2 linked regions of the Oryzias latipes genome follow. The main gene of each other region encodes a partner of the protein of the gene in region 2 in a complex. Links are inferred from orthologs where the notes say so. Each region holds a gene or a part of one and is shown on either strand. Other genes may lie near its edges. The genes, in order: glmp and mfsd1.

Evidence for each region.
Region 1: the proteins of mfsd1 (region 2) and glmp are in contact, whole or in part, in a cryo-EM structure (PDB 8R8Q), measured with the Mus musculus proteins. The link is inferred for Oryzias latipes from reciprocal best matches to the Homo sapiens genes MFSD1 and GLMP. Residues at the interface, in NP_080089.1 of Mus musculus: Val288, Glu292, Lys293, Arg295, Phe349, Phe351, Leu411, Asp412, Lys414, Gly415, Tyr416, Leu417, Leu418, Val421, Ile424, Ser428, Leu432, Val435, Leu439; in NP_064387.1 of Mus musculus: Glu250, Asn252, Ser253, Ile254, Asp255, Asp256, Glu257, Pro260, Ala261, Phe263, Gln264, Arg292, Phe364, Leu367, Val368, Ile371, Met372, Ala375, Ala378, Leu381, Met382, Gly385, Phe389.

The regions. Positions count from the first base shown.
Region 1 is NC_019869.2:4,734,246-4,749,220, reverse strand, and holds glmp (glycosylated lysosomal membrane protein), read right to left. Parts: upstream 9,210-14,975; 5' UTR 9,032-9,209; coding exon 8,921-9,031; intron 8,052-8,920; coding exon 7,887-8,051; intron 7,314-7,886; coding exon 7,215-7,313; intron 7,138-7,214; coding exon 6,973-7,137; intron 6,892-6,972; coding exon 6,673-6,891; intron 6,599-6,672; coding exon 6,330-6,598; intron 6,261-6,329; coding exon 6,086-6,260; 3' UTR 5,176-6,085; downstream 1-5,175. Other genes in the region: protein JTB, read left to right, coding at 2,514-2,602, 2,865-2,905, 2,989-3,074, 3,278-3,357, 4,104-4,260; cct3 (T-complex protein 1 subunit gamma), read right to left, coding at 10,292-10,375, 10,457-10,588, 10,691-10,936, 11,019-11,199, 11,275-11,356, 11,842-11,974, 12,046-12,195, 12,280-12,466 and 1 more. UniProt on the Homo sapiens protein: Required to protect lysosomal transporter MFSD1 from lysosomal proteolysis and for MFSD1 lysosomal localization.
Region 2 is NC_019871.2:13,131,777-13,146,849, forward strand, and holds the start of mfsd1 (major facilitator superfamily domain-containing protein 1), read left to right. Parts: upstream 1-8,347; 5' UTR 8,348-8,403; coding exon 8,404-8,569; intron 8,570-8,748; coding exon 8,749-8,801; intron 8,802-9,177; coding exon 9,178-9,290; intron 9,291-9,401; coding exon 9,402-9,444; intron 9,445-9,551; coding exon 9,552-9,619; intron 9,620-10,773; coding exon 10,774-10,882; intron 10,883-10,970; coding exon 10,971-11,073; intron 11,074-11,553; coding exon 11,554-11,652; intron 11,653-11,863; coding exon 11,864-11,975; intron 11,976-12,369; coding exon 12,370-12,426; intron 12,427-12,626; coding exon 12,627-12,783; intron 12,784-13,844; coding exon 13,845-13,942; intron 13,943-14,045; coding exon 14,046-14,158; intron 14,159-14,268; coding exon 14,269-14,316; intron 14,317-14,475; coding exon 14,476-14,542; intron 14,543-15,073. Other genes in the region: P2Y purinoceptor 12, read left to right, coding at 2,759-3,007, 3,079-3,462, 4,296-4,775. UniProt on the Homo sapiens protein: Lysosomal dipeptide uniporter that selectively exports lysine, arginine or histidine-containing dipeptides with a net positive charge from the lysosome lumen into the cytosol.

The sequences.
Region 1 (14,975 bases), on a different chromosome or scaffold from region 2:
GCCTTTTTTTGTCTTTCATATCAGATCTGACAGATATTTCCTTTGCAGTGCAACATGGAGAAATTTTGTTGGGGTCGGAGTTTGAACAGAAGACAGAAAATTTCACCTGGACAGGTGTGTCGCTGCCCTCGGCATTCCAAGTGTTCACATTTCTTTCTCCACAGCCTCTAAATAAAAAATAATTTTAAAAATGTGACATTTCTGTTATACTAAAGGCAATTTTTCTTTTTAGCTGTGTGGAAATGCAATAACTTGTTTTTCAACAAGAGGAATACCGTTTTTTTTATGGCTTTATAATGAATTAGGTTTGATAAATCTTGTTTTTTTTTATTTGTTTATTTTTATGTTGTTGTTGGTTTTTGATTACTTGTTTTGATTGCTTGAAATGAACTAATAAACCAAACCGAGAAAAAAATGATGTAGCTTTTCATTATTGTTTCTTAAATCAAATCAAACTTTATTTATAAAACACTTTTCATAAAACATTAACGCAAAGGGCTTTGTGGACTTAAAACAATTAAAGACAAAATGATAAAATACTCAGAATTCCCTTAACAATGTCACTTACAATGACGCATAGTGAAAATTTTGCTAATTGAAAGTGTTTATACAGAAATCAAAAGGGTTATCGGTTTAAAATAAAAAGTGAGTGTTTACATGTGTATACCTTGTTGATACAAACCTTGTTAGGTTAACTAGTTATCTTAGGTTTAGTCATTTCTGAATCACGGGTTAACTTTTGATCATGTGAGTCTTTCAGTTAACTGAGGTGATACAGGCTGAAATACACAGTATCCCTCTGTGGATGATTTACAATATAATGTTTTTTTCATTAGAACTTTGATAAAATGAAAGTGGACAGTTATTGTGCATATTTGTTTTTCCTAAACTATACTGATTTAAAATATAAACAAATCTCGTTATGTATTAATAAATGGTTTGATGTTTGAGAATCGTCTCTTCTTGTGAATGAAACTACTGGCTGCCTCTTTAACGTCCGCCAACATTCCTTTTTTTTTTAATTGACATCATTCAGAATTACACCGCATTTTTTCCATTTGGAACATTCCAATCCCAAAACATAAGGCAGTTTAGCCTTTACAAATAGAAAACTAGAACAAAGTCTAAGCAGCAGATGAAAACAATATCAAATCATAAAACAGGGTTATAAGTAATAAATAAAACATAGACATATGATACACCTTTTGATACACCCAAATTGAATGTTCAGGTATAAAATTGTTGGGGTTAAGTTTCTTTGTTGAAAGCCACCCATATAAGTCATTCCAGAAGATTTTAACCAAATTACAATCATGAAAGAGGTACTTTTGAGTTTCAATATGGTTTGTACATACGGGGCATAAATTATCATGTATATTAAATCTTATACGTACAAAATCCTTACAGTTTCCGCCAGCGGAAGTGTCTGAATTTCAAAATAAATAGCTCTAGCTGTTTTAGGCTAAAAATTAATAATAATATTTATGATAGTAATGTATAATCTGACGCAAACTAATGATAAATTTTACACTGTTCATTAAAAAAATTCTGGTTACGAATAACAACTGACTTAGTCCTTGAACTATTTGGAGGAAAACTCTTATGATGAAACTATGCAACTTGTTCTGGTTGTTTTTTGAGCAATCCCAAATGATAAATATGTTTATTTTTATGTATAAGAATAAAATAAAATTTTAACTGGTTTATGACAAAACTATACACGTGAGTCATTTCTCACCAGGGAGGACTTTACGTGCTCTTGTTTTGAAAGAACCACACCAGAAGAGTTTCCTGTGTTTTGTGACGTCTTTGTATCGACGTGAGGCCGTAAACAGGTCCGGTGGCAGTTTTTGCATTTAACCACCAAAGCGGATCAGATTTATCGACTAGTTTCAGTCTCGGCTCGTTATAAACAAGTTTCTTGTTGTAAACGTCTCCTAGCTTCCGGAATGTCGGTTGATTTAGTGGATTACGGTGAGTGGACGGAGTTTAGCTAAACTGAGCTAATATTAGCCTAGCTTAGTTGGTTACTAACCAGACAGTGTAGTAAGTAGACGACTGTTGTCTGTAAAGATTAAATTGATTTCTATCTCGAAAACATGACGTTATTTTGTCTTTTGTTGACTCTAATTTGTGTGTTTCCATTTATGACATTAAGTTAACTGGATTTACCGTTTTGGGGGTTAGCCAGTTTGGTGGATCAATGACTGGTTGTTATTGTTAACTTCTCTGTTTGTCTTCACCTTTTATATCTTAATACGTTATATATTCCAAAATATAATTTGTATGCAATAATCACTTACTGATTGACAGAACTGTTTCATCTTTCAGGTGTAAACTTCCTGCTACCTTAAAACGATTCCCCCAGTCTGACCATCATGTAAGCAGACAAACAGGACCCCATCTGTGAACCAAAGAAGGGCTCGCAGGCCCAGAACCAGTCCGGACAGACCACTGACCCAAAGCGAAGACTCAGGGTGGCTGTGGTCCCACCCAGCTGGAGAAGCAGACTGATGGAGAGCGACTGTCGGATCCCGGTTGCTTGTTGTCGGCCGCGGTTCCTCCTCCTTCACGCTCTTTTCTGGGGCCTGGTGTCTCTCAGGTTAGTCTGTGTGCTGGGGTCAGAGGGCAAACTGATGAGGTAACTGCGTCTCATCTGAGGTTGAGGTTTACGCTTATAGGGGGAAAACACAGCCGCTAAAATAGAGAACTATCCTTGTAAATTGTTACTCAGATTGTGGTGAATCTGATTCAGAAGAAAACAAATGTGGATTGAAAGTAATATAGAAGACTTTTACTGTATTTAAACTTTAAATTCAGTCCATCAGTAGCCTTAACTGTTTCTCATGTTGTTTTGGTTTTAGAGTGTTTGGAGCAGCGCTGCTTAACGAAGAGAAAACTGCAGGTAAAGCTAAGCCATGTTTGTCACCCATAACTGTTTGTTTCATGATGTAACGCTGAAAATGGTTGCATTGTTCTCTGCGGCAGCAGTGAAGCCCGTGGCCACTCCCTGCTGGCTCATGGAGGAGTTTGTCGTGGTGGACGAGTGCGTACCCTGCAGCGACTTCCACTCTGTAAGTTATTTGAATTGAATACAGCTGGATTTTTTTGACCCATATGTTAATAATATTATATCAAACTGAAAGAAATGTTGTTCTACCATTTATTGTATCTGCAACACTTATAATTTAAAAGCATCGGATCATGTTGGGATTCTAACACGTGTACTCTATATGGAAATTCTACTAAAGCGATCGTTTTTTGTATGTTTTTCTAGAAAACACAGTTTGCATGCAAACAAACAGGATATGTCGAGAGGATCAATTGCACTAAATCCAGCAGGGAAGACTACAAAAGGTCAGTTCTGGATTCTTACTGGAACCACGTTTGCAATCTGAGACTCTGGAGCTCCAAGTGGATCTTTTAGCCCTCAACTGTGGCAATCTACTTGAAGAAAAAAATGTTTTTCAGAAACCTTTTTTAGAAATCTTTTGAAAAAATTTCAAGGATTTGAAGTTGTTTATGCCCCGAGAAATTTGGTCAGGGGCGGTAATTACCTCTAATTTAAAATTGGTTTGTTAGATTTACAAATTTCTGACTGAGATGCACCACAAATGGTAAAGTAAACTGTTTATAGTTTGTTTGTCCTGGATTGAAATAATTCTGTGATACAGGATGTCTTTTTATTTTGAAAGGAAGTCATGTAAACCTAGATCAAAACTTATAAAGAATTTATTATTTAGATAAAAAGGAAATTTTCCTTTTATGTTCTGTATATGCCAAAAAAAGGTACATTTATTATTATCATAACAGTAAAAACAACATAACTACAAAGCAGTGTCTCATTTTTCCCCCATCTGCGGTGGTTATGGTCATTGAGAAATCAACCCGGATGTCTTTAAGTGTTGAAGGTTGCAGACTCCCGTTTTAAATCATCCTTTAAAATCTCTAGCTGATAAAATGCATGAATCTCTCAGCTTTTACTCTGAAATCTAAACTGTTAATGATCATTTGCATAATTAAAAACAAACGAAACTGAAATCATCCAAAAGATTAGATTCATTTATTCACGATTAAGGAATGAACCGTCTTCTTCTTTTCAGTTGTCGATCTGCTTCGATGGAGGAGCATCTCTTCTGGAAGTTTGAAGCCGCCACCATGGCGCTGACAGCTTTCTTCGCGGCTCTCGTGGTCGTCCGTCAGCGCCAGCTCGATCGGCGGGCCTCTGAAAAAGTCCGACGGCAGATTGAATCCATCTAGGACTTCGAGAGCTGCTCCACTGTTTTTTTTTTTTTTAAATTCTCCTCAGTATTTTTAGCAGAAGGTGTGCAACAATGACCGGAGACAGAAAGACAAAACGCTGTTCACGTTGACTTTAAAGACGCAGATTTGGACGATGGGATGGCGAACTGTTGCAGGATCCTCAGACGCTTTCAGCTTCATCCGTTGGAGTTACTTGTATCGTCCACCTTAAATTCCTGTATGAGGTCTCATCCAGTATTTGCTGTCTTTCAAAACACCAAATGAAACTTCTGCGTCAACCGTCTCCCAGCCTGATGGACTTTCGGGGTCAACTTTGTGCTAAAATAAGACAGAAAAATGTCTTCCTGCTTATTAAAAAAAATAAAAAAAGAAACACGGTTTGTTACTTAGTGAAATCGATGTTTGGATTCTGAAACTTGAGATTTCTGACCCTTAAATAATGATTTTAAAATGGTGTTCTTAAAGGAAAAAAGCTGTAAACCTGAGCTGTTGTGAAAGTGGGCGGAGTTTGCACACCATTAAACTGTTTATGAATGAATGCGGTCAACAACTTATTGATCACTGATGGTGTTATTGGCTGACGGGTTAAGTTTAATCAGGACGTGACTATGAAATGAAGAACCACCACCTTGTTTCTGTTCTGATTTAAGCTTTTATTTTAAATCCAAAAGTTTTCTTTTAAATGTATTTTTGCCTTTATTAACATTTTGTCGAAATTATTCTTACAAGAGCTGAAGGTCAAACGTCTCTGCAGGTGTTTTACAAACAAAAGGTTGTGTTGCTCAAATGTATGGATCCTATTTAGCTGAAATTCGATGACAATTACCTGAAAATACATGTTTTATGTAATTTTGTGTTAATGGAATGAAAAATATTCTGATTTATGAAAAAAAAGGGAACTGAGAAAAGGCAGAAAGTCAATCTTTGGTTTTATTTTGCCTTGTAAAGTAGCAAAAAAGCACTTATTCTGATTTTAAGCACAAAAATTCTACAAATATTTTGTATTTGCTAATTTCAATGGTTTTTCCTGTTTTTCTCAGCAGCTCAAAACAAATATCTTGATAACTTAATACGAGGGAGGCTTAACTTCTAAATACTTTTACCAGTTTGGACACAATTTAGCCTAAAATGTCTCTTTCATTTGTTTATCAGACTTGGCTTCTTCTTTTTGCTTATTCGTTGAAGGATAAATGACCTAAACTACAGCTGAAATAAAAACGTTAGTGTAAGAAAATCTATCTTTAACAAAAAAATAATTGTCTAACCAGCAGGACAAATGTGTCTGAGAGTAACAAAAAAAACAGATTTTTCAGCGATTTATTTAGACAATATATGAGCCAATCAGCTGCTGGGCAGCTTTCAAATCATCAAATGGTTTTTGATAAACCTCGATCCTTGGCAACAACAAAAAAAAAAAGATAATTTGAACTTGTAATGGCCAAACTAGAACACTTGGCAAACAAACACTGGCACAATTAATCATCAAAACTCCCTGAACGTTTGTATAAATGCATCTAATTATATAAAAAATGCAACAAATCCTCCTAATAAAATAAAATATCAGCAAGCGGCTGACCAAGAACGTAAATCTTACAGAAAAAAATATATATATTATTTTTAAATGGCAAATATTTCCGATTCAAACACAAAAAACTGCCTTAAATTTAAGAGTTTGATCCTAAAGTTCCATAATCCTTTTTAGGTCAGACTATCCTGCTGGTGCTTTCTGCTTATTCCAGGTTAGAGACTAAAGTCTGGAATATGAATCCCGCAAGAAAATGTCTTTAAACCATTTCTAAAAGAGTCTCTGTCCTTCCATCCATCAGTTGATTGGCTGGTAGGTTGCCGGGGAGCCGTGCCTCCTCTTATGGAGGCAAACCAAGGCTCCGCCCACCAGCAAGAGGATCATGGGAGTCCCAAGACCCACGGCCATGATGGCGAGGACAATCGGAGAGAAGGTGTCAACGGGAGGAGCTCCGACACCCACCAGCATCGTCCTGAAACAGAAGATGCGTTTGTCGTCTGACCCTGACCCGTGGTTAAAGGTTGACCAGAAGGGAACCCACCAGCTGAGGAACCTGGTGCTGTTGTAGAACGGTTCTCCTGCCAGGCCAAAGCTCACGTTCAGCCCCGTGATGTTGGGTTGGGAGAAGAAAGCTTGGATGAGGGCGGAAGAAGCTGCCGTGGCGTTTCCGTCCTGAGTCTGGGGGTCCGAGTAGCGGCATGGCGTGGCGTCCTCCAGGGCTGGGTTGGACTGGCGGTACGCCACCGGCTTCCACTGGACGTAACCCGACACGTCTGAGCCGCCCTTCACAGGAGACACCCACTGAGACACCTGACGGGTGAAGGGAACAGGCTGTCCATGTTTGGTTCCGACTCTGACGTTTGACGTTTCCTCCGGTACGTCACCTTAAAAATTGACGGCGTGAACTCGTCGTCAATGAACTGGCGGACATCCACTCTGCTCAGAGGGAAGTCTCCGCCCACCGCCTGCATCTCCAGCAAGAACCTAGAGTTTGCCGACCGTGGCATGATACCATGCAGCCAAACCTCAAGCTGGGAGGAGTTAGCTGAGTGCAGGAGGCGGGGCCAAGACTCTGCACGCCCGTCGGAGTCAAAGACAGACAACTGCAGGGAACGATTCATCAAAACATTAATGAATACTTCTCTAAGTTTTGTTAACATAGAAATTAAAAAGTGTCCTCAAACCGTCAGGCAGAGGGATCCGTTCCCGAACTCGGGGGTTTCTCCGCACAGCCGAGCTTTGGCGTCGAATAGTTCCAGGCGGTTCCAGTTCAGGTTCTGGAGCTCGTAAGGAGGGAAGAAGTCGGAATCTGGCATGGCGGTGTCATTCGCGTCGTCATACTCCAGCAGCTGAGGGACACAACAGATTTATGAAGCAAACCCAACGTTTCCATGGAGACCTGAGCTAGCAGAATTTCCCAACTGACCCGACTGAAAACCACGGCGATGCTGTACTGGATGCTGCTCTGCGGCTCCACACTGAGGCCACCGCTGACGTTACGGCTCAAAAACTGAGTCCAGTTCACCTAATGCACCGAAAAATGAATGCAGATTAAACACACCTTATTATGATGTTCAATTCCTCTTAAAACTTGTAACCCTTGTGCAATCATAGGCACTTGACATTGGAACTGGGGTCATCTAGACCCACTACACAGTGCGCTAAACCTTTTTTCTTCAATGATTTGTGATCTTCACTGGTGTCCATGGATTACATGAAATCCTCTTCACCTGTATCCACCTCTGTCATGGTAGGGAGAACACGTCAATGTAAGAATTGGGTCATCTGGACCCCATAGGATAGCACAAGGGATAATCATAGCTTCATTAATGACTGAAAGAAAAATTATTTATCTCCCAAATATACATTTAAGTAAATTCTCATTAAACAGAAAAATATATATATTTAAATAATTACAGATTATAGTGAATGCAAATGCTGCTAAACAGAATTTACTGTTTAGTTGTGCATCAAAATGTGAAGAAATTGCTATTTTGTAGAGATTTGATGAAAGAAAAAATAGAAAGTATATTTTTTGTTCATTAATTTAATCATTAATACTACAAATACTTCATAAAAAAATACACTACTGTCAAACCTGAACTAAAGAGTTGCTTGTGTTGGTGTGAACTATCAGCAACGTTGGCGCCCCCTGGCTGCACCACAGGAAATGCAGCGTGTCGTTATCTCCCACAGCTCGCACATGCAGCAAGTCACCACCAGGTGGCACTGATGTTGAGTTTGGGTTCAACTGCAGGGTCAACTGAATAAGCACAGGTGAGAAAAATCAAAAAGATTGTCTGCAGATTAATGAAAATGCAGCAGATTCATGTCTGCTTCAATATAGAATTTTATCGGGTAATTTGAATTTTGTTATGACACAGAAAATAAACACAAAGTAAACCATCCTGATTGAGAGATTTTATCTCACAGTAGTTTACATTTTCACGTGACTGTGATATTCACAAAGCCTGAAGGATACAAGAACTAAAAAAAAAGCAAATATTTTCGAAGTAAAAGTCCTTTATTGATTTTCTTAACTACAAACGAAGATAATTATAATATATTTATTCAAGCTTATTTTGAATATTATTTCAGAATTATTTAGGCAAATTATCTCAGCTGATAAAATGCAATAAACATGGCAACTTTTTTTGCAAAGAACAAAAGCCTTTTAACTTATAAGGTGAATTTACAAATGGTCATTTAGACGGTAAAACGTTTTTTAATCAGCGTCATTTAAAGTAAACAACAAGGAAAGAAAGGTAGTAAAACATTTGAATAAAAATTTTGATTACTAAAGCGTACAAAAAAACAAGTTTTAAGGGACATCGCCATATGAAAATAATACATCAGGATCAAAGTTATATTTTCGGAAAACCAATCATTCAATCTGCAATCAAAATGAAAGAGCACAAACAATAGAAGAAATTGCTGAAAACTACAAATGAATTGATATAACTAAGAATATCACAAAAGGAAAACTTCGATTTCTAGGCGTGAATTAGTGGCATTTTTGCCATGATATATGATAATGTAATCAAAACTTTCACTTCCTGTTTATTTTTCGTGGTTTTTGTCGAACATTAGGGTCTAAATTAAAGAACTTCCGGGTACGCTTTACTGTCTTACCTGTCTTTTATATTCGTTTGTCCCGCCAACTAAACACGGGCAAAAACTTAACCGTAAAATAAGCAAAACAACAAAAACTCTGTTGCCTATCATTGTCCCTGCAGCCGCCATAACTGTTGTGAAAGTTCTGCGTTGAGTCACATGACCCTCCACTTCATGTCAGCTGAGCGTTAAGAAGCCCCGCCCCCTCCAGCCTTCTTAAAGAAACAGTCATAAATAATGAGTTTTGACTTTTTTTTTCCCACATACCGAAAATATTCGGGGAATTTGGATTACATATTATTGTTAGCATGTATTGGGCAATCAAAAACAAAACTATACTCTAAACCTAGATGAAAATAATACAATTTATCATTTCCGGTGACAGATTTAGACAAATCAGCAGTTCTGATATGAGATGGGAAAAACTAAAACTTTTATCTTTCGCATTTTTAAATATTTCTAATGGTTGCCCTGTCATAAAAAAAATGTAAATACGTTTTCTTTTGAACACAACTTTTTGTGAATAGTTCAGTAATAAATGAACTAAAAATCTGACTGGCTTCTTAGAGTTAACAAAATCGTGTTTGGAGAGATTTTTTAAATTATATTATAGCCTATAGCTGTTTATATTATTACATTTTTATTTAACTTGGGGTATTTGATCTTAGCCTATATTAAATAATAGCATAAAACTTATTTATGATGCTATATAGAACCTTGATGGCCTTTTTTTTTTTTTTTTTTTTTTACGAATTAGTGAATAATTAAATTCCACTCTTTCATTTGACAAATCAAGTTTGCCTTTAACATTCTGTAATTAATCTAAAATGCAATCCTAGGCTGTGGAGCAGAACCAGCTTACACTTGTCCAAAAACATAAAGGAGTTTAAGAACAAATGTGGAAATATTAATAAACATTTACAAATAAAAATAAATCTAAATATTTATGATTATAAATTTGGGGATTAAGATTTACATGGAATCAAATGAGTGTTTGTTTTTAAATGATTATGGGTATATTCATTTATTTGTGAAGTTAGATGTGTGCATGGATATAAAAACTGAAAGTGTTCTCATTTGAGGGAACAGTAATAAATTTGGTCTAGGAGGTGAGAATTTCTAAGGCTTTTCTGATATTTCTTGTATATTCTTTTTATATTTTGTCTCTTAATGTACGTGTCTCAATTAAACATCATCCAATGAGCCAAGTTTTGTATGATCAAACTATTCACAAACTTGTAAAAAAAAACATCTTCAACCACAAAAATGAAACCAGCTCTTAACTTTGTGTTTATTAAGTTTAAGTGAGTCGCCTGGTCCCCACACACACACATACAAATGCGCACACACACACACAACTGGGCTGTTGAAATGTCGACGTCAGAGGATCTACTCGGCTCCTTGGCCATCCGCCTTGTCCTTCTTCTTGTGACCAGAAACGATGTCGTCGATGCGCAGCAGCAAGATGGCGGTCTGCAAAACGTAACCCAGACCCGTCAGTGAGGGCGGAGGTCATCATTGTCGATCGGCGAACATCACGCCGATCGCTCTTACCTCAACCGCCGTCTTGTAGGTCTGAGCTTTGACGGCCAGCGGCTCCCAGATTCCCAGAGTTGACATGTCGGTCAGACAGCCGCTCTCCCCGTTGATGCCCCAGCCCACATTTCCTTCTTGTGTGTGCTTCGCCTGAACCAAAAATATAATTTTTTTAAAATTTTTAAATAAAAAAAATATAACTCCCGAAGCCATAAGGAACAACAGGATGTTGATATTTTGTGTTTTCTGTACCCGAAGTGATGTCAACACTCTGATAGTGGAGGCTCCGCAGTTCTGGATCAGCGTCCGAGGGATGACCTCCAGCGCCTGCGCCACGGCCCGGTACGGCCACTGTTCAATCCCCGTCAGGGCCCGCGAGCGTTCCGTCAGACGCTTCGACACAGCCATCTCCACCGCACCCCCGCCGGGCAGCAGGAATGGGTCGAGCAGCACGTTGCGGCACACTTGCATGGCGTCCTGCAGGTTCCTTTCCACCTCCTGTAAACCGAAGCAGAGCGAGTGAACTCCAAGCGAATGAATCGGGTCGATCGGAACTTTTGCGTGCCAGTGGTGTCCTCACCGCCAGGATCTCCTTGCTGGCTCCTCTCAGCAGGATGGTGCAGGCTTTGGGATCTTTGCACTCAGTGATGAAGGTGAAATACTCGTCTCCGATCTTCTTCACCTCAAACAGTCCGGCTCCCAGGCCGACATCCTCCTCACGCAGCTCGTCCGTCCGGCTCACAATGCGAGCTCCACAGGCCCTGAAAAACAAACAAACAGGTGAGTTCAGACACGTTGCAGACGTGTTCGCTGATAGAAGACGGAAATCGAAGTACCTGGCGATGCGGTTGTTGTCAGTCTTCCTCACGCGGCGAATTGCAGTGATATTTGCTTTAACCAGGTAGTGCTGGGCCAGATCTGAGACGACCAGAAGTCAGAATTAAACCAATTATTTCAAATATTTTCAAGACGGATGGACGATTTTAACAAATGTATTTAAATCCCACTCCGATGGTGTTTTGAACATGTTCTTGTGGCATTTTTCCGATGATGATGGACATATAACAAGAAAATTGGTCTGAAATATGCATCTCTGAGCATTTTTTTAATTTAAATTGCTGTGAATCGAGAGCAGATTATAAAACGGTCACTTGAAAAAGATCGTATTTGTGACGTAGAAGCTCCCTGCTGAGAGCTTTCAGTAACTGGGAGTGAAGAGGTGGGCGGGGTTGCTCTTTGCCAACGGTGCTCGTTTTTATTTTTTTGGCTAGAAATAGTCTAATCTTAACTAAAAGACCACTGGGAACTCCCTAAAAACAGATCCAAAGACAATCGAAGTGGGACTCGAACATTTGTCAATCCCTCTGTGTGGACTATGTCTTCCCGCTCTGAGGTGGACAAACCTGAGATCCCCTTCTCAGTGAAGATCAGGTCTGGCTTGAGGCGGACGATGTCCTCACAGATCTGCTGGATGTAATCTTCTTCCATTTGCAGGATTCTGGAGAAGTCCTCCTCCTTGCTGATCTCGATGTCGGTCTAGAGGCAAACAGGCGGGTCAAACGCTGCACCACGGCGCCGTTGAGGACACGAGCTCCAGTGCACTGTACCTGACTCTCTCCTTTCTTGTACTCCAGAGAACAGTCCAGCAGCACAATCCTGGGGTTTTTGATCATCCGTCTCATTTTGGGGTGAGTGACGTCCTTGTTGATCATCACGCCTTTCAGCACACAGGAGTCCTCGATGAACCCGCCCGGAACCTGCAGGATCACAGAGGAAGCCGTTTGTAACTCACCGCATTTAAAGTCGCACCTGTTTGATATGAAGTTATTCAAGGGTAGTACCTTTTCTACTTTGGCGTAGTTCTTGATGTCGATTTCTTTGCGCCCATTCTCCTCCAGCTCCACCGTGCGGACGGCGTCCAGGGCGATGGTGCAGGCCAGGTCGGACCAGCGGAATAGAGCCTTGGTGTTGATGGCAGAGTTGACGATCTTCAGCATCATGGAGCGATCTGATGTGTCCACAGGAGTGCTGCAGAAAGTTCAACTCTTTAAGACACGCCTTTAGATTTACTCCTGAGCCGTGATATTCATTAAAAAGATTATTTCAACGGGATACATTTCTCCACTACACCTGCAACCAAAAATAAAAAAATGGTTCTGTCTTGAAAGAAATTGATGTGAATAAGGGATTCAATTTATAAAAAAAAATAAATAAAAAAAAAGTCAAAAACACTCCAGACTATGGATGCTATTACTAAACCCTTTAAGACTGGAGTTGTTGCCATTGACAGAATATGATACACCCTTTCTGAACTAATTGAACCAATTAATGCAATTCCAACAGGTTCTGAGAAAAGCAGCTTTGCACTGATATTACAGTAGTTTCATGAGCCGCATTGAGTTTTGCGGCAGTGACTTTAGAGAATCATGGGAAAAGAAAAGAAAAAACGATCGTTTTTAGCTGTTTACTGGTGTTTTGTTAGAACTTGTGAATAAAGTCATTCGTATTGTGAAAACCATTGTGTTGAACCAGGACGATGACTAGAGGAGATGGAAGGTGGGTTTTCATCCTACATGCAGTAGGTAAAACGTTTTTGTACCAAAGGTGATTTTGATTAGATTTACCATCATAATGTTAGTTTTTTATTTATTCATTTTATTTGTTTTATATATGTTCATAGAAATACAAGAATTTTTTTTTAAAGCAAAAATGCTCATGTTCCTTCTGTTTTACATAAATCAAACAGATTTGTCACTGGCTGCGTTTCCATTGACTGTGAAATCAATACAGCAGATGTTTTGGGAGCTACCGCTAGCTTAAGCACCTCCTAAAGAGAAATACTAGAACGCACTCGGCAGAGCATATTTGGTAGAAGCAGCCTTGAAACTGTTTTGCTGCGAGTGGCTTGACGCATGTTCTCCCCGTGCGTGCATGTGGGGGTTTTCTCCGGCTTCCTCCCAAAAACATTCTTCGTAGGTTAATTGGTGACTTTAAATTGTACCTAGGTGTGAATGTGAGTCTGTGTGGGTGTTTGATTTGTGGCACCGCGACAGACAGGTGACCTGTCTATAACGTCCCCTGCCTTCACCCACGAGTGGCCAGGATAGGCTCCAGCAGCCCCGTGACCCCGAAAGGGGCAAAAACGGGTTTAGAAGATGAATGAATGATTGGTTTGATGCACCAAGTTTAAAGTCACAAACCCAGAGAACAAAATCTAAGTTTTGACTAACCAGCCAAGTTGGCTGATAAATGAAAAAAAAAAAAGTTCTACCAACCAAATTATTCCATATTTTAGAAAGAAAAACTATAGGTGTTATATTAAAAAATGATTTTATGGAAAGACAACATAATTAAAACATCAGATAAAAACAAATGTTTTCCTGAGGAACTTCCGTTTTGATTTTTTTTAATCAATCTTTGCTTCTGCTTTTGCCGTTTTCACGCCGTCTATGAAATGTTGAGTTGTGTCTGTTTTCCTGCTGAAAATCGCCCCCCTGAGAAGAGGGCTTTCAGTCTTCAGTCTTCACCTGTGGTGAACCAACTGTACGGTCAAATAAAAAAACCTGCTGAGAAAACGAGGACAGATTTACTGAAGGGGAGCAGATCGACAAAAAAAAAAAAAATCCTAATTCTGCCTCCAGTTGATTCATTTTGACATGGAATCATAAAAAAAACAGACTGAAAAGATGATCATGTTTTGGATTCTTGCCATGGGCAGTAAAGACGCGGCGCTCTCACGAGGGGAGGCGGGGCTTTTTCCAGCTCAACTCCGCCTCTGTAACGTTACAAAGACACTAATAATAAAGTTCCATAAAAACTGGCTTCAGTCTGTCATTATATTTATAAAATATATATATTTTAAATGTTCCACAAGTTAATTTTGTTGGATTTATCCGCCACGTCTTAAAGTTTGCTCCTTGAAAATATAGTCTGACTTCAAACCGGTCAGTGATCACATGTAGGAGACACACGGAAAAGCTCCTTAGCACAGCATCATAGCATGATAGCACCGTAGCATTTAGCATCGTAGCATCAGTGTGTAACGACACCGCTGTCTTCAAATCAACACTTTTCATTAAACGTTCTGTTCTTTCTGGATCCTGGTAAAAATTGTCACATGTTCAGCTGATTCACTGAAGCAACTAGCACAAGTTAGGAGGGGGGGGGGCACTTCCAGCAGCAAGAAGTAGCTCCTCTTTGCTTGCTGCTGTTTTCACATCTGCACTGTGCGAGAGACCGGCGGGCCGACTTTACTCAAGACAACAGAAGTGCGAGAGAGCAGAGAGATGGGGAAATAAAAATGTCTATATTCGCTAAAACAAATCGTCCAGTTCTGAGTGTACCTGACTTCCTTCAAAGCTTCAAGCATGTCCTCCAGAGCCTGTCTGTAGGCACTAATAATCACGGTTGGATGCATCTGCTGCTCAAGGAAATGCTCGGCTATGGACAGCATCTCTCCAGCTGTTGCAGACGGAAACAAAAAGTTACAAATGATCAAGTCAGATAACAGTCAGATGTATTAATGAAGAAAAAAAAG
Region 2 (15,073 bases):
ACATTCCCCATAGCTTTATTTTTAAATACCATGGCTGCCCTGGTGTCCCTGCATCTCAAGTCCACCTCCACCTTTGTGGTGTACCTGAAAAATCTCATAGTTGCCGATATTGTTTTGACCATCATGATCCCAGTTAAAATTGCAGGTGATTTGCCTGGTACTTGGGAGGCGTTATCTATACCCACATGCCGTTTTTTCAGTGTCATTTTCTACAACACACAGTACACATGTATCGCTCTGTTGGGCTTTATTAGTCTGGACCGTTTCTTCAAGATCATGATGCCGCGCACAAGATTTGCTCAGAATCTGACCGTTAGCAAAGTGATTGCAGGCTCTGTCTGGGTGATCATGTTTGGAGTCACAGGTTTGCCAAATATCATTTTGACCAACAAAACAGTGCCCAGTGCCCAAATTAACGGCTGCATGGTGCTAAAAAGCCCAGCAGGAATAAGGTTCCATGAAAAAACAACACTATTTCTGAACGTTTTCTTTTGGATTGTCAGTGTGACCATTGCGGTTTGTTACATTTGCATTGTAAATAAAGTCATCCAATCTTACAGGAACTCTGGAAGCAACAACAGCCAGGGCAAGCAAAAAATCAAACTGCGAGTTTTTCTAGTTATCATTGTATTCTTTGTTTCTTTTGGTCCATACCACATTGTCCGGATCCCGTACACTTTTCAACAAGTCAGCACTTCCTCCACGACCACATGCTCTCAGATTGACATACAGATCAAGCTCGCGAAGGAACTCACCCACTGGCTTGCAACAACAAACATCTGCATGGACCCCCTTCTCTACGTCTTCTTGTGTCGAGAGTTCAAGGAGCAGCTGATGGCGCTGATGAAAAAAATCACTCACAGGATTTAACAAAGCTCTAAATCAACAATACGCCATTTGTCCATTACCGCATGTAAAAGAAGTAGATGTTCAACATATTTACGGTACTATTAAATTCAGCTCTGTGGTGGATAAAAAACTAGCAAAGGTCACTCTGCATGTCACACAAAAGACATACAACTAACATTTGCATTTTTATTGTACTCTATTTTTTGTGGTTACTGCTGAAGTTGGCCACGCATCATCATGAAAGTTTGCAAGACTTCAGATCATACCACACCATGCTCACTACTGTAGTGGAATGTACTGTTAAGATACATTTAAAAAATATTCACCAAGATCAGAACTGCTTTTACACCTCTCTGTCACTTCTGTCCATTTGTTTTCCTTAAAGAGTTGTGAAAAAAATTAAAAAATAAATTTGAAACGACAGCTGGTGGCTGTGGCTATGTTGCTTGTTTTCTGCTGTGTGCATTCTACCAAGCTCCCACATCTACTGGTAATGTGTGGGTTTCAAACCACAAGTCTACTTGCATTTAACACTTAGCAAATGCCTACTGTCAAAACAACCATGCTGAATTGGGACTTGGTTGTGGTAAACACAGGGACGTCACTTATCAGCTTCTTCTCTCCCTTTTGTGCATATTTTTGGCTCAATCCCACCGGATGTGCTGTTGGAGAGTTCTCAGAAAGTACTATTTTTATGACAAAAGTTATGAAGGCATCGCTTGTTCATATTTGATTTCTATGAAAGTGTGTGTTCACTGTTTAGGAGAGACAGCGGTTAAAGGACAAAGCAAATAACCTACTTTACAAGTCTGTTTGATGCATGTTCTACCTCAATGTGAGTTGATTATTGCTTTGATTAGGTTCTCTGGTGGCTTACTGACTAGAATTACGCTGTCTGAACAGTGCAGGAGAAAAAAATTGTTATCTGACATTGAGTGCATTTGCAGGAGGTCTTTGCATGTAAGTTAAGACCAAAAAAATGAGCGTTTGCATATCAACAACCACAGAAACTGACTCAAGCTAGCGGAGGCAGAGGGACTGGCACAGAGCAAAGAAAGCTTCTCAGCAGACAATTAGAACAGGAAGCAAGGAAGGAAGGGGTTTTTCACCCAGAGGAAGGCTGGCAAACTTATTGGGGTTGTGACAAGACAGCCACACAGTAGCTGCAGAGACCACCCATTGCAATAGATTCCAAACACATACACACACAAAGAGCACACTCTTAAATTCAGAGAGAGCTGAGGGGAAACACTAAAGAGACAGTTTTCTGTGTGTTTAAAGCGATATTAGATCCATTTATTATTTTTCTTGAAGCTTTTTGTTTTGTTTTCTTTCTTTTTAATGTCATGACTTGCCTTTTATCCAGAAGAAGAAAAGGGAATTGAACAATCTACCGCTTCCTTTTTTTTCCCCCTCTTCTTTCTTTAAAATTTGCGTCACTGTTGTTGTTTCAGTGTCCCATCTGGTTCACGATAAAGTCTTACGGTAAGACTCAACTTTTTCCTTCTTCGTTCTCTTAGATAAAGAACCTGTTAAAACAAAAAAACAAAAAAAACAACATTAGGATGCACTTCGGCTTCTATTGCACCTCCTGTTTGGTTGTCTTATTCTAATGTTTCTTTGCAAAGACAACTTGACAAACACTTTATCAGGCACAAGATAAATGCTGTAACGTAGCCTAAAATGTTTTTACATTTTTGGGGACTTGGTTGATATTCTGAAAATGAATCAATTATTGGTACAATTTTCCACTGGTTGATATTTTTTTGTATGTTATGGGATGTTTCTAAGATTGTGACCAACATCTTTGGCACTTTAGTATTTAGTAACTCATATTTATCTGAGCCCTGTGTTTGGTTTGACAGGAGCACTTCACTAATCATTTGCGTGTGGTTTTGATTTTTTGCTGATGGAGGCTGTAATATTTCTGTTCTTTTTAAAATTGTTTATCTTTCAACGAACCACAAAGGAGAAGATGAACGGCACCTCGCTTAACGAGTCCTTCAAGTGTGAAAAGGACAATCGTGTGACAGCAGTGGTGTTCCCATGCCTGTACAGTATCCTTTTCATCGTGGCTCTTGTTCTGAATTCTATGGCTGCGTGGGTCTTCTTTAAGATCCCAAACAACTCGACATTTGTGGTCTATCTGAAGAATGTGGTAAGCCACCGCCACAGGGAACCCAAATGTCAAGGCAGATACAGAAATCACGTGCTTTTTCTGCACAACAGGTTGTGGCCGATTTGCTGATGACCCTGACCATTCCGGTGAAGATCTTGAGTGACGCAGGAGTGGGGCAGCTGCGTACTTTTTACTGCCGATACTCTGCTGTTCTCTTCTACATCACCATGTACATCAGCATCCTGCTGCTGGGCCTCATCAGTCTGGACCGCTACCTAAAAATCGTCAGGCCCTTTGGGAAGTGTGTCCTCCAGCGGGTTTGTGTTGGCCAGCTGCTGTGTGCAGCTGTTTGGGTGCTGATGCTGTGTTTGGCACTCCCCAACGTCATTCTCAGTAATAAGGAGCCACGTATCTTGGGAAACAAACTCAAGTGCTCCTCCATGAAGAGCGAAGCTGGCCTATATTGGCATGAAAGATTCAACTACTTCTGTCAGGTAACTAGTTAATGAAAAAGTTATAATATATTGTGTAGATTTTCAACCAGTTTGTAGTTTTATCAGTTTTGTGATTCCACAATTGAAGGCACAACAAAACATGAAGACCATAAACTGCTTTATAGTCAATAGCTGCATTATTTTAAAGACAAAAAACAGCATATAAAGAAATATGAATGTGTCAAACACGAAGACCCCCTTCATTTGAATGGTGAGAAAGTAGAAATTATATATTTTGACTAAATTTTAAATGCTTAATTAAGTCTTTTAGACATCTGTTGTTGGTTGTTCCTAATTTTCTTCTCTAATTTGATATAACACTTTTTCATAATTGAGCATCATTTACAGCTGAAAAAAATGTAAAGACCCACTCCAATGAAAATAATGTTTTTGGTGTTTTTAATGTGTTATTGTAGCATTTTCCTTATGATGAGGAGATGTAAAAAGAAAATGAAGATTAAAATATAAGGTTTGATAGTTCACATACAACTCGCCGTTTTTATTGCACCTCTAATGCTAGCTTGGGCTTGTGAGGGGCTGTTAGCTAGCAGAAGAGAGTGTAAACAAAGAGATGATAGGAAATTAGGGCAGGCTTTCCTCGACACAGCAGTGTCCCACTCCCACACACACACAAATCGAAGTTCTGATGAACTGCTGCCGCTCTACACAAATTATGTCCAAAAAACAACAGTTTTTTTTTTTTAAATGTTGCCTAAAACAGCATAATTATAATTAAAACACCTCTGGTAACACTTTTAATATAGATCAAAAGATTATTGGAGTATCACTATAACCACATCGAGTGCCTCATTAAATGTTGTTTTGGTTTTCAGGTTGTCTTTTTTGGGACACTTGCCTTGATGGTGGTTTGCTACACCTTCATCAGCAAGAAGGTGTATGAGTCGTACAAAGCCTCAAAGAGCAAGTCCCAAGCAGCCCGTCGCAGAACCAAAGCAAAAGTCTTTGTAGTGGTGGGGGTGTTTGTCATCTGCTTTGCCCCTTTTCATATGGCCCGCGTACCATATACTCTGACTCAAACCAGGGACCTGAGGATTGATTGTCATGCAAAGAATGCACTATACATTGCAAAGGAAACCACCCTGTGGCTGTCTGCCACCAATGTCTGCTTGGATCCACTTATTTACGTTTTCTTGTGCAAGGTGTTCCGGAAAAGACTGACAAATACAATCTGTAAAGCCACCTTGGAATCTCCAACAGCAACGTCGACACAGATGCAGATGTTACCAATCAACCACACTTCTACACTGTCACACAACGGAGTATCACAGTTACCATCTGAACACAGTGAATAACTGTACATGACTGAGCTTGATTAGCATGATAGACTGTTTGCTGTAAACAAAGTTTGTAAGTCTTGTAAAAATTCCAAAAATAAAAAATGAGCTCATTGGATTTAGAGGAATTTAGAGGATGAAAGAAAAAGGGAAAGCATTCTGCAGTTGTCGTTCCTTTTCATGATTTCTATTTTGGTTCCGAGGAAGTGCTTTTGTCCACTGTTTGTTAACTCATCAAAACACGTTTCCTTGATTTGCTTACTGTCAATTTGAACATCCTGCCCTCTAATCTTGTACAATATGCGTTTCTCCTTTGCAAGACTTTGGGTACAGAGTGACCATCTTGACACAAGCAATTTCCCTCTGATTACCTCTGACTGACGGGAAATGACTAAGCAAAGAAACACAAGGCTGCAAGTGAAGCTGTTGAAACGTCTGTAAATATTTAAATATTTTTAAATGTATTTTTACCATTGTTAATAATAAGTTCTATTTTCCTTCTCCAGCTAAAATTGTATTATAGTAATTTTCAGATTTTAAATTTGCTCTCATTTTAATAAATAGTCATTACTAAACATTTAGAGTGGTTTTACATTTGTATGCAGGGGAACCACATAAATCAGACTGGAAGTTTAAATCAAATGTAAGACAAAAAGAAAGTGAAAAAATAAACATGAAAGCAAAAAACTGTGTTTTGTTTTTTTTGACAAATGTTGCAGCTCAGTAGCGCTGGGGCACAGATAATCAAAGCAAGTATTCAAAAACGTTCTTTGTATGTTACTTAGATACAACATTCTTTCATAGATACAAAAATTGCATTCTAAAAAAAAAGAAGAAAAAAAAACATGCATTCAATCTTCCTAAAAGATAGACTGATATGTGCTTAGTAAAACAATTTAAACTCAAGAAGAAATATTAAAACAAATTGTAAATTTAATTATGTATCAATCAGAAATATAAATGTTTATTTACATAGCAAAAGTATAAACAGATATCTTAGTTATTCCAATTTTATGAATTATTTGTTTATATATATATATATAATTTCTGATGAGCACGGTTTGGATGGGCACGCGGGAGCTGTCCAGTGCTGAAAATCATTCCAAAGCCTGCAGTGATCATCGAGAGAGGAACAAAGCTCTATACACTTGCGTGTATCAGGAGATTCGCAAGGTTTGTGGTTATTGTAAAAGTAACTATTTTACACTATACCATACTAAAGAAGACGGAAAAGAACTATAATTCAAGAAATATTAACTCTGGTAGTTTATAAAATGCACACTGATGTCCCACTTGTCCTGCTTTTTTGCGGTCGCTGTGCCGGTCCATTGTGGTGAAGAGAGAGCTGAGTCAGAAAGAAAAGCTCTCAATTTACCAGTCGATTTTTGTCCGGAGACTCACCTATATGGTAATGAGCTTTGGGTCATGTCTGAAAAAACCAGCTCCTATATATAAGGAGCCAAAATGAGCTGGCTCGGTCATCTAGAGAGAGCTCGGAATAGGACCGCATCATGAGGAGCCAGTTGAGGTAGCTCAGGCATCCGGCCAAGTCCTACTGGGCGGAGATGCTGGATATCGAAAGTCCCCCCCAGAGGAGCTAGAGAAAGTGGCCAGGGGAGAGATGTTGGAACGCAGATGCGTGAAAGAGAATGGATTAGAAATTGGATCGTCCATAATGAAAATACATTATGTATTTGATAATTCAATAAAACAACATTTCAATTCCTCATCTGTTTTCATTTTTTTTTAAATAACTTTATAGAATTTTAATTTGTTGTGGTCTTCTTGCACAAAATACAAAAAGAATTTGCAAAAAAACAAAAGGTTGACCAAAAGGCTTTTACAATAGAATTAGATTTTGACAAAATATCACAAACATTAGCGTTTGTAAGTGAGTGTAAGTTATTAGAAACTGCAACAACATTAACCAGATGGGCAAAATTTATCAGGGCACAGGTGCCCGCAACATTTCCCACAAATGCACTGCGAACGGTGACACCACCACAGTACCACCGGGTGCCTGCTCTGCTTTGCTTCAGTGGGGTGGTGACGCTGTGGGTGGATGAGCACAGGCTGTCATCAATATGGCCCATACTAGATTCACCTCCTGCTAAAACAAAAAAAGTAGAATTGTTTGCAGCAACATTGGTGCTAAACACGGATTTTTCTTTTCTTTTGGTGTTTGATTGGTGCAAACACTTTGTCCCAAAGTGCACATTCAGTTTTCATGGTTAATTTACTCATCATTTCAATTATACATGCTACATGTAATTCAGGGGGTGGAGCAGCTATTTTGAGTTAAGGCCTGGGACCCATGCATGCAATGCAATCAGACTTCATGGGCCTCCCAGCCTATACTGCTAAGAGTCACCTATGGACAAATTTCATACCTAGAGTTACTTGCTGTACGTTAAGGACTTTCACTTCACTAAATCGTGTCAACGGGCTCATAGTTTACATAGTCTGAGGGCTTGTCTTTGGTAGAGGCTTCGGTGTTTCATTATTTTGATTCAAAATACTATAAGATGGGGATCACAATCACAATTATCAGGGCTAACAAAGAAGTTATGGTTCCTTGAAAACTGCAAGGCCAAATATTTCTTTTCTTGTCTTTTTTTTTGTTTTTTTAAACGGGCTCCACGTTGTGTCTGCTCAGTTCAAGTCTGCAAGTCCTTTCAGGTCTCTCCCTAAGTACTGCGCGGCTGGGTCTGCAGCTCACCGCTCCCCCAGGGGATGGGTCAAATGCGGAGAACTAATTTCACACACCTAGGTGTGTGACAGATAATGTGATTTAATTAATTTTTAATGTATGTGCTTCACCGGTTTGAGACGTAAGGGACACTAAACATCCTGTCCCCCTTTGTAGCCAGACTTAGGCCTTGTCTGCAGCAGTGGGTAACCCTTTAGGAAACTTACAGAGTTCAGGATGAGACAGGTGGATCCAGCTTTGTCAATGAGCTATTTTTATCACTGTTGGTGTGGTCAGTAGTACTTGGTAGGAGCCTTTAGGATGACACCAGGTCTTAAGCCTAATAACAGGGGAGTCAGGCATGTGGTTACTCTTTTTAATTCTTTTGTTTTGTAACATTTTATTCATGTATTCCACTAATATTATACTATTTTTATTTGTAGTAAATACCACTGTGACAAGTGCATAGTTTGTAACTTTGATTTATTTTTATTTTTCATTATTATGACTTTTTATCTCATAATGGTGACTTTTGGTCACAAAAGTTTGACTATTATTTATTAATTTTGTTTTTCATCTCACAATTTAGCCCTTTTTGATAGGTAGGGTTTTTTTTATTTTATAAACGTTATTTTAAATGCCATAAATTATACTTTTGATCTCATTATTATGAATACTAATCCTAATAATTTTGACTTTTTTTCTTAGAAGCCTAAAGGATGACTTTAAAAAAAACGAAAGGAATAAGTAAACTTTTTTTTTTTGTGAATGAATATTACGCTGAATATTGTTTAAGTTTTGACCTTTTGTCCTAATCATGGTTGTATGTTGTAAAGCTGCTTAAACAGTGAGCGCGCGCCTTTGAACGCGCCTGGAAGGCACGCGCGTACAGATGCCACGTGACTCACTCGCCGTGCTGGGTCACATGATCGGTCGCTCCTCACCAAACAGTCGAACATGGCGGACTTCGTGGAGCGGCAGAACTTGTTGGAGGACGATGAAAGCTCCCCCGCGGAGCGGCGCTCAGCCTCAGGAGACGACAGACCGATGTCCGCCATCTGCGACCCCAGCCGCCTTCCCCACCGGGCGGTCGTTCTGGTTTTCATGTGCTTCCTGGGATTCGGTGAGCTGGAAACACCTTCCACCAAACCGGTTTGACGACTGGGAGGATTTTGGGATTACAGCTGCTGGGCGCTCCGAATTGTTGCTTATTGCTGTTTGTCGATCGATGTTAGCAGAAATGGTTAACAAAAAGGCTCTTATGTGTTTCTTGGTAAATCATTTGAATATATTTTTTTTCAGGAAGCTATTTTTGTTATGATAATCCCGCCGCACTTCAAACCCAAGTCATCCAGGCAAGTTGAAGAAGTGAAACTGTTTTTTCTTGTTGTTTTTTTTTTTTTTTTTACACAAAAATGATCTTATCTGACATTTTTAAACATATTATACAGATTGGATGGTTACAAAATCCCTGGATTACACGCTTTTAAACTTAGATTACTTCCAAACTTTTTGTACAAAGAGATAAAAACTCAAACGTTCAGTTATGTTTTTCACTTTTTTGTAAACATCTGGTTTCCTCTTGAAACAAACCATACCGTCTCTCTGAGTTTTTCTGATGCAAATGGGATGCATACTCTTATTGTCCTTTGCTGTCATGCAGCTTGCTGATTTGAGAAATAATAAGACGGAGAACCAGTCCTGACTATAATGTTTTCCTCCTGTCTCCAGGACTTGAACCTGAACACTGCAAAGTTCATGCAGCTGTACGCCTGGTACTCCTGGCCAAATGTTGTCCTCTGCTTCTTTGGGGGATTTCTGCTCGACAGGGTTTTTGGAATCAGGTATAAAACCAAGCTGCATGTTTACTTATTCCTTCCAGATGTTTGTGTAAGTGTTCCTTAAATGTCTGCCATGCTGATCATCTGCATTGTTTTGCTGATGTCCCCCCTTAGACTGGGAACTATCATCTTCTCCCTCTTTGTCTGCGTTGGACAGGTAGGGTTTGAAACGTTCCGCACATCAGATACTTGATAAAACTTAATTTCTTTTGCTATTTTTTTTAATTTGTTTAAAAAAACAAAAGTATTTGAACTTCTTCACAGGTAATTTTTGCTGCTGGAGCTTGGTATGATCTCTTCTGGCTGATGGAACTTGGACGTTTTGTTTTTGGGTAACCCCATCAGCCTATCAAAAGACATTTTTTATTAAAGTTCCACTCCAACAATAATTTTATACCTTGAGAAAGCGGTCTTTTAATTATTAATATAACGTTATGAGCCAAAATCAAGAACCCTTTGTCTTTTTTCTTAAGACATATTTTCTGCAGAGCGGCAGGAGTTCATAGGACATTTGCCTCTGATTTGAGGGGGGGGACTGTTGGTGCGGAAGTCAGCCTCCACTGATATCCCATCATCCCTTTGTTTACACTCTCTTCTGCTATCTTACAAACCCAACCTAACATTACCAGTGTAACAAAAGTGATGTTTTTTACCTCACAGTAAGGAGGCCCCCGCTTCAAGCCCCGGGTGGGGGACCTGAAACAGAACATCAATGGGGAACCTTTCAGTTTGGAGTTTGCATGTTCTCCCCGTGCATGTGTGGGTTCTCTCCGGGGTCTCCGGCTTCCTCCCACCGTCCAAAAACATGCCCCATAGATTAATTGGTTACTCTAAATTGTCCATAGGTGTGATTGTGTGTTCATGGGTGTGTGATTTGTGGCCCTGCGACGGACTGGCGACCTCTCCAGGACGTCCCATGCCTTCGCCCACCAGCGGCCGGGATTGGCTCCGGCAAAACGGGTTTAGAAGATGAATGAATAATTGTAGACTTTTATTTTGTTGTTTTATTTTTTCTGTTTTACTGATCCAAAAAATGATCTGAACCGTGACTCTAAAACCGTGACACGATCTGAAACGTGAGTTTTGTGAAGCGTTGCACCCTTAATCAGAGCGATCCAACTGTACAGTTTTGAGCCAGATTGCAGCTCAGACGTTGATGGATCTATTTGTCTACAAGTGGATGCATCAGAATGGAGCGGAGCAGGGAGACTTTCAGTTCCTACGTCACACCTGAGAGCTTTTTCAAACAGAATCGGCTCCCGATTCACCCCGATTTGAATAAAGAAATGCCCAGAAATGCAGTTTTAAGCTTAAATTCTTTGACATATTTACTCGATCATGAGAAAAACGCGACAAGAACATGTTAAAAACACCCTTTTCATTGGAGTGGGTCTTTAAGCTAAACAAGAAGAGTCTCTAAACCTTTTAGGAACACATGTCTAACTATGTCTTACATTCTTTATTTATTTCTTCATCTCTTCAACAGCATTGGAGGCGAGTCGCTGGCTGTTGCCCAGAATACATATGCAGTCAATTGGTTTAAAGGCAAAGAACTCAACCTTGTGTTTGGCTTGCAGCTGAGCATGGCTCGACTGGTACGGATTTAAGAAAAACAACAACGTAATTTCAATTTTTGTTTTTACGAGCTGACACAATGTGTATCTTTTTCCCTGATACATGTAGGGCAGCACAGTCAATATGAACATTATGGGCTGGGTGTACAACAAAGTTGCAGTTGTCGTTGGTTCACCTGGACCCACTACGCTTGGTGCATCACTCATGATAGGTATGTGACACACACCTGCCAAAACTCCATGCTTCAACACTAGTCTAAAATCATGAAGTGAGATTCTAGCTGCCTTTTGCTGCCTCCGTGCTGGAAACACTAGATCCTTTCCCTGCAAGTGCTGATCTCAGATTACACAGCCAGCAAAGAGAAGTAAGAAAGAGAACCAAAAGTGCAGCTCGCTACCTCAAAAAGAGTCACAAGGACAAGGAGAAGTGTCGGTTCAATTTTATTTCTTACTACGTGCAAAGAACTGCAACCATTTCTGCAGATCTTGCAGTAGTCTTAGTTTATGATATGTTTGTCCTGCTCCTGTGTTCTTAAAACTGCACTTTGACCATCTCAGACAAACGCACAAAGACAATTGTGTCAGCTAACACAAATCCAACATGCTGGGATAATCTTATCATTCTGAAAAAAGGGTCAATTGTTTGTTTGTTTGTTTTGAACTAATTTATCTTTTTCTTTTTCTCTTACTAGCTGCAGTGACCTGCCTCTTTTCTTTAGTCTGTGCATTGGTGTTGGGATTCCTGGATAAGAGAGCAGAAAGAATCCTTCACAAAGAAGAAGGAAAAACAGGTAACATGAGAAGTTGCCCTCCATCAACCTCTTTCCACTTTGACGCACCCATCAAAGATCACTAGAGGGTCCTGCAATATCAATGAAACATGCAGAGATTTCAAGGCCTTGCATTTTTTTCTGACCTCATTTAGAGCGCTGAATTCCAAGAGTTTCTTGTGATTATTTGCAAGTAAGTGTTGTTTCAAACCAATCTCACTCTGCCTTTTAGGCGAGGTGATCAAGCTGACCGATGTGAAAGATTTCCCACTCACGCTGTGGCTCGTCTTCATCATCTGCGTGGGTTACTATGTTGCCATTTTCCCTTTTATTGGACTGGGCCAGTAAGTAGTCTGTCAATTCTGTGACTCATACACAGCCATAACTCTTCCTCATTATTGCTGCAGTGTCTTTGCATTACTTAAGGCTGACAGTCCGAGCGATGCGTCGTTAGTTCCACTTCTATAGCTCAGGAAATAGGGTGATTAAGTAGGATGTCCAGTGCTTTGTCTAATGCATGAGACGCTTAAAAAAAATAGAAGATAAAAAAAAAAAGTGAAACTGTATGTACGGAAGTGAAGTGCTTGTGTGATGCAGTGCACAGACAACGCAATGCCAATGGGAACCAGAACCAATACGAAGAAGATTGAGTTACTCTAGCAACTCAATTTGCTCTCTTTTTCTGATCATATCTGTGCAAGTATATGCTGTGAACCGTTATCGTATTTTGACTTTCAGAGTATTCTTCATTGAAAAATTCAACTTCTCTCCAGCTGAAGCCAGAGCTGTCAACAGGTAGCTCACATTTCTTTTGGAATTAAATCTGCATTGTGGACTGTAGTATTTTTTAAGTATTTTTGTGGCTTTTTTTTTTTTAACTTTCTTTTCTTTTTTCTCAGCCCGTTTGAACCCAATTGCTTTACATTTAAGGAATAGTGAATCTTTGCATGATTTCAAAAGCATACATTTTGGCTGATGTGGCATATTTTTCCCAGTATTGTGTACATCATCTCAGCGCCTGCATCTCCCGTCCTGGGCTTCGTGGTTGATAAGACGGGCAGGAACGTGGTTTGGGTGATGATGGCCGTGGTTGCAACGCTTGCGGCTCACATGATGCTGGCCTTTACCTTCTGGAACCCATGGATTGCCATGGTAACTAAAGAAAGCAGAAATATGTGCTGTACTTTAGTGAACTATTGCACAGTAGAGTCGGGCGTGAAAGTTAGTACCTTTAGTCAAGCCATCATTTATATTTTTTAAATCTTGATGTCAGCCTTACCTGGTTTTATCAACCCCTAATTTCTGTTTTCTAAAGAAAATTGTTGATTAAGGATGCATTTGTCAAAAGTTACGACAAACAAGATCCAACTTTTCCTTTCAATTTTTAACCCTAGAAGAATTCTGTTAAATCCTTTCTTTTATCCAAATCTAGTTCAGGAGGGAATAAAATCTTTACAGCTGTGAAGATGCACGGGATCAGATGCTGGCAAAATTCTTTTTGTCTGTCTGAAACTCTTAGCTATGAAATATAAACTTTTCAATGAATTCAATAAGGAGAGATCTTGGGTATAGGAACAATAAAGATGTATTTGTGATACAAACATGTAGTTCATGGTCTTTTGGCAGTTAGAATCTGGGCAAATGACGTCTTTATTCTGAATGGATAGGCTCAGATGAGTAAAGCCCAGAGCCTAGACACCAATGGTGGTTGAGGCCAGTCCATGAGTGTTGGTCATGGTGGAGAATGGAGCACAGAGTAAACATCCATGAATTTCAATCAGAAATATGATTGTGATTGGCTGGGAAAAGAAGGCGGGGAATCTTGCTACTGGTTTAGAGTGAAGGTTTAATTGATGAGTAAGTGACAGATTACCTGGGAGTGAGGTAGGTCTTCTTTATTTTGTTTGGTTTGAGTTTACTGTGAAATGCAAAGTTTGCTTTTATAGCTTAAACTTCTGAATCATTTTTCCAAAACTTTTTTCTTTTTTGCTTATGTGGTTGTTGTTCTTTTAATGCATAGAGAGGGGTTTTTAAAATTGGCCTTTTATTTTAAGTCCTGAAACCAGAGGGAAAAGTCGATCCAGCAAGCTTTTCATTACGTTTATACCAAAATTTGATATGTTTTGTAGTTTTTGCTGTGACTAAAACAGATTTCCGAGGATTGTTTTTGGAACATGATGGCAGATGAATCATCATATCCCCTTGTCTTCCAGTCTCTGCTTGGTGTGTCGTACTCCTTGCTGGCTTGTGCTCTGTGGCCCATGGTGGCCTTTATGGTGCCTGAACATCAGCTGGGAACAGCCTATGGCTTGTACGTACATGTTTCAGTTGCTTAATAATATTTATTTTTCTTGGCTTGGACATCTCTTTGTTCATATAACTGTTACTTGTCTTGCTGCATTTTTGCCTGGCAGCATGCAGTCCATCCAGAACCTGGGCCTGGCTCTCATTGCCATGGCAGCCGGCGCCATCCTGGACTCCAGAGGCTATCTGGTTTTGGAGGTCTTTTTTTGCGCCTGCATTTGCAGTCAGTATTTTTATCTCTCTTTTCTGCTTGTCTTCTAAATATTCCGTTTTACCAAACTTACCTGGCACTTTTGAGCAACAATGTGGATTTCTTCTCCCTTTATATCCCAGTTGCATTGATCGCTGTGGTGATGCTGTACTTTGTGGATTACGTCAAAGGTAAGAACTTTATCGTCCTGGACTCTCCTGCTTTATTTCTTGTTTTCGCCTCTCTTTTTCCTCTCTACCCTCCCCTTTTACTACCCTGCACGTCTTTAGCTCCCTCTACACTCAGACAAATGCATTTCATAATCCTTTTGTTTGTCTGTCTTGCTCCAGGCGGGGATTTGAATCAGTCGGCTGCAGCCAGAGCCAAACTCCAGAAAGAAGCCACGTCGGATGCGGAGTGAGTAGCATTCATCCTTCATCTTTCATAACTTTTTTTCCAAACAGCTTAGCCAAAAAAATGATCTTCCCATTTAATCAACTATCATCATTTAAGGAGCTACAAAGGTCTTTGTTAGTGAATCTAGTCTCACTGAAGCAGGAAGTGTCTTTAGCTGTACTACTTTTTCAGTAATATTGAGATTATCAGTTATATAATAACAAATTATAAGGTAATGCCAATACTTCTTGAAAAACTTTCAATACTTGAAAATCTTGTGTTTTATAGTTGATGGCCTGATATGATAAATAGTTGATTTTGTCACATATTGAGAAATAAGTGTGACTGTGAGTGTCATTATTTTCCAGTTTGTGTTTTCTTTTCTTAAAGGAAAGAAAGCGGGTTAAATAAGGTCCACAAATTCTGCCAAAATTCGAAATTTGATCAAAATATTTCCTAACTGAGAGGGAAAGTGTCCACTGCAACAGACTTCAACTCAGGTTGTGGATATGAAAGAAACCACAGTGGCTAAAAAAACAAACAACAACTGCT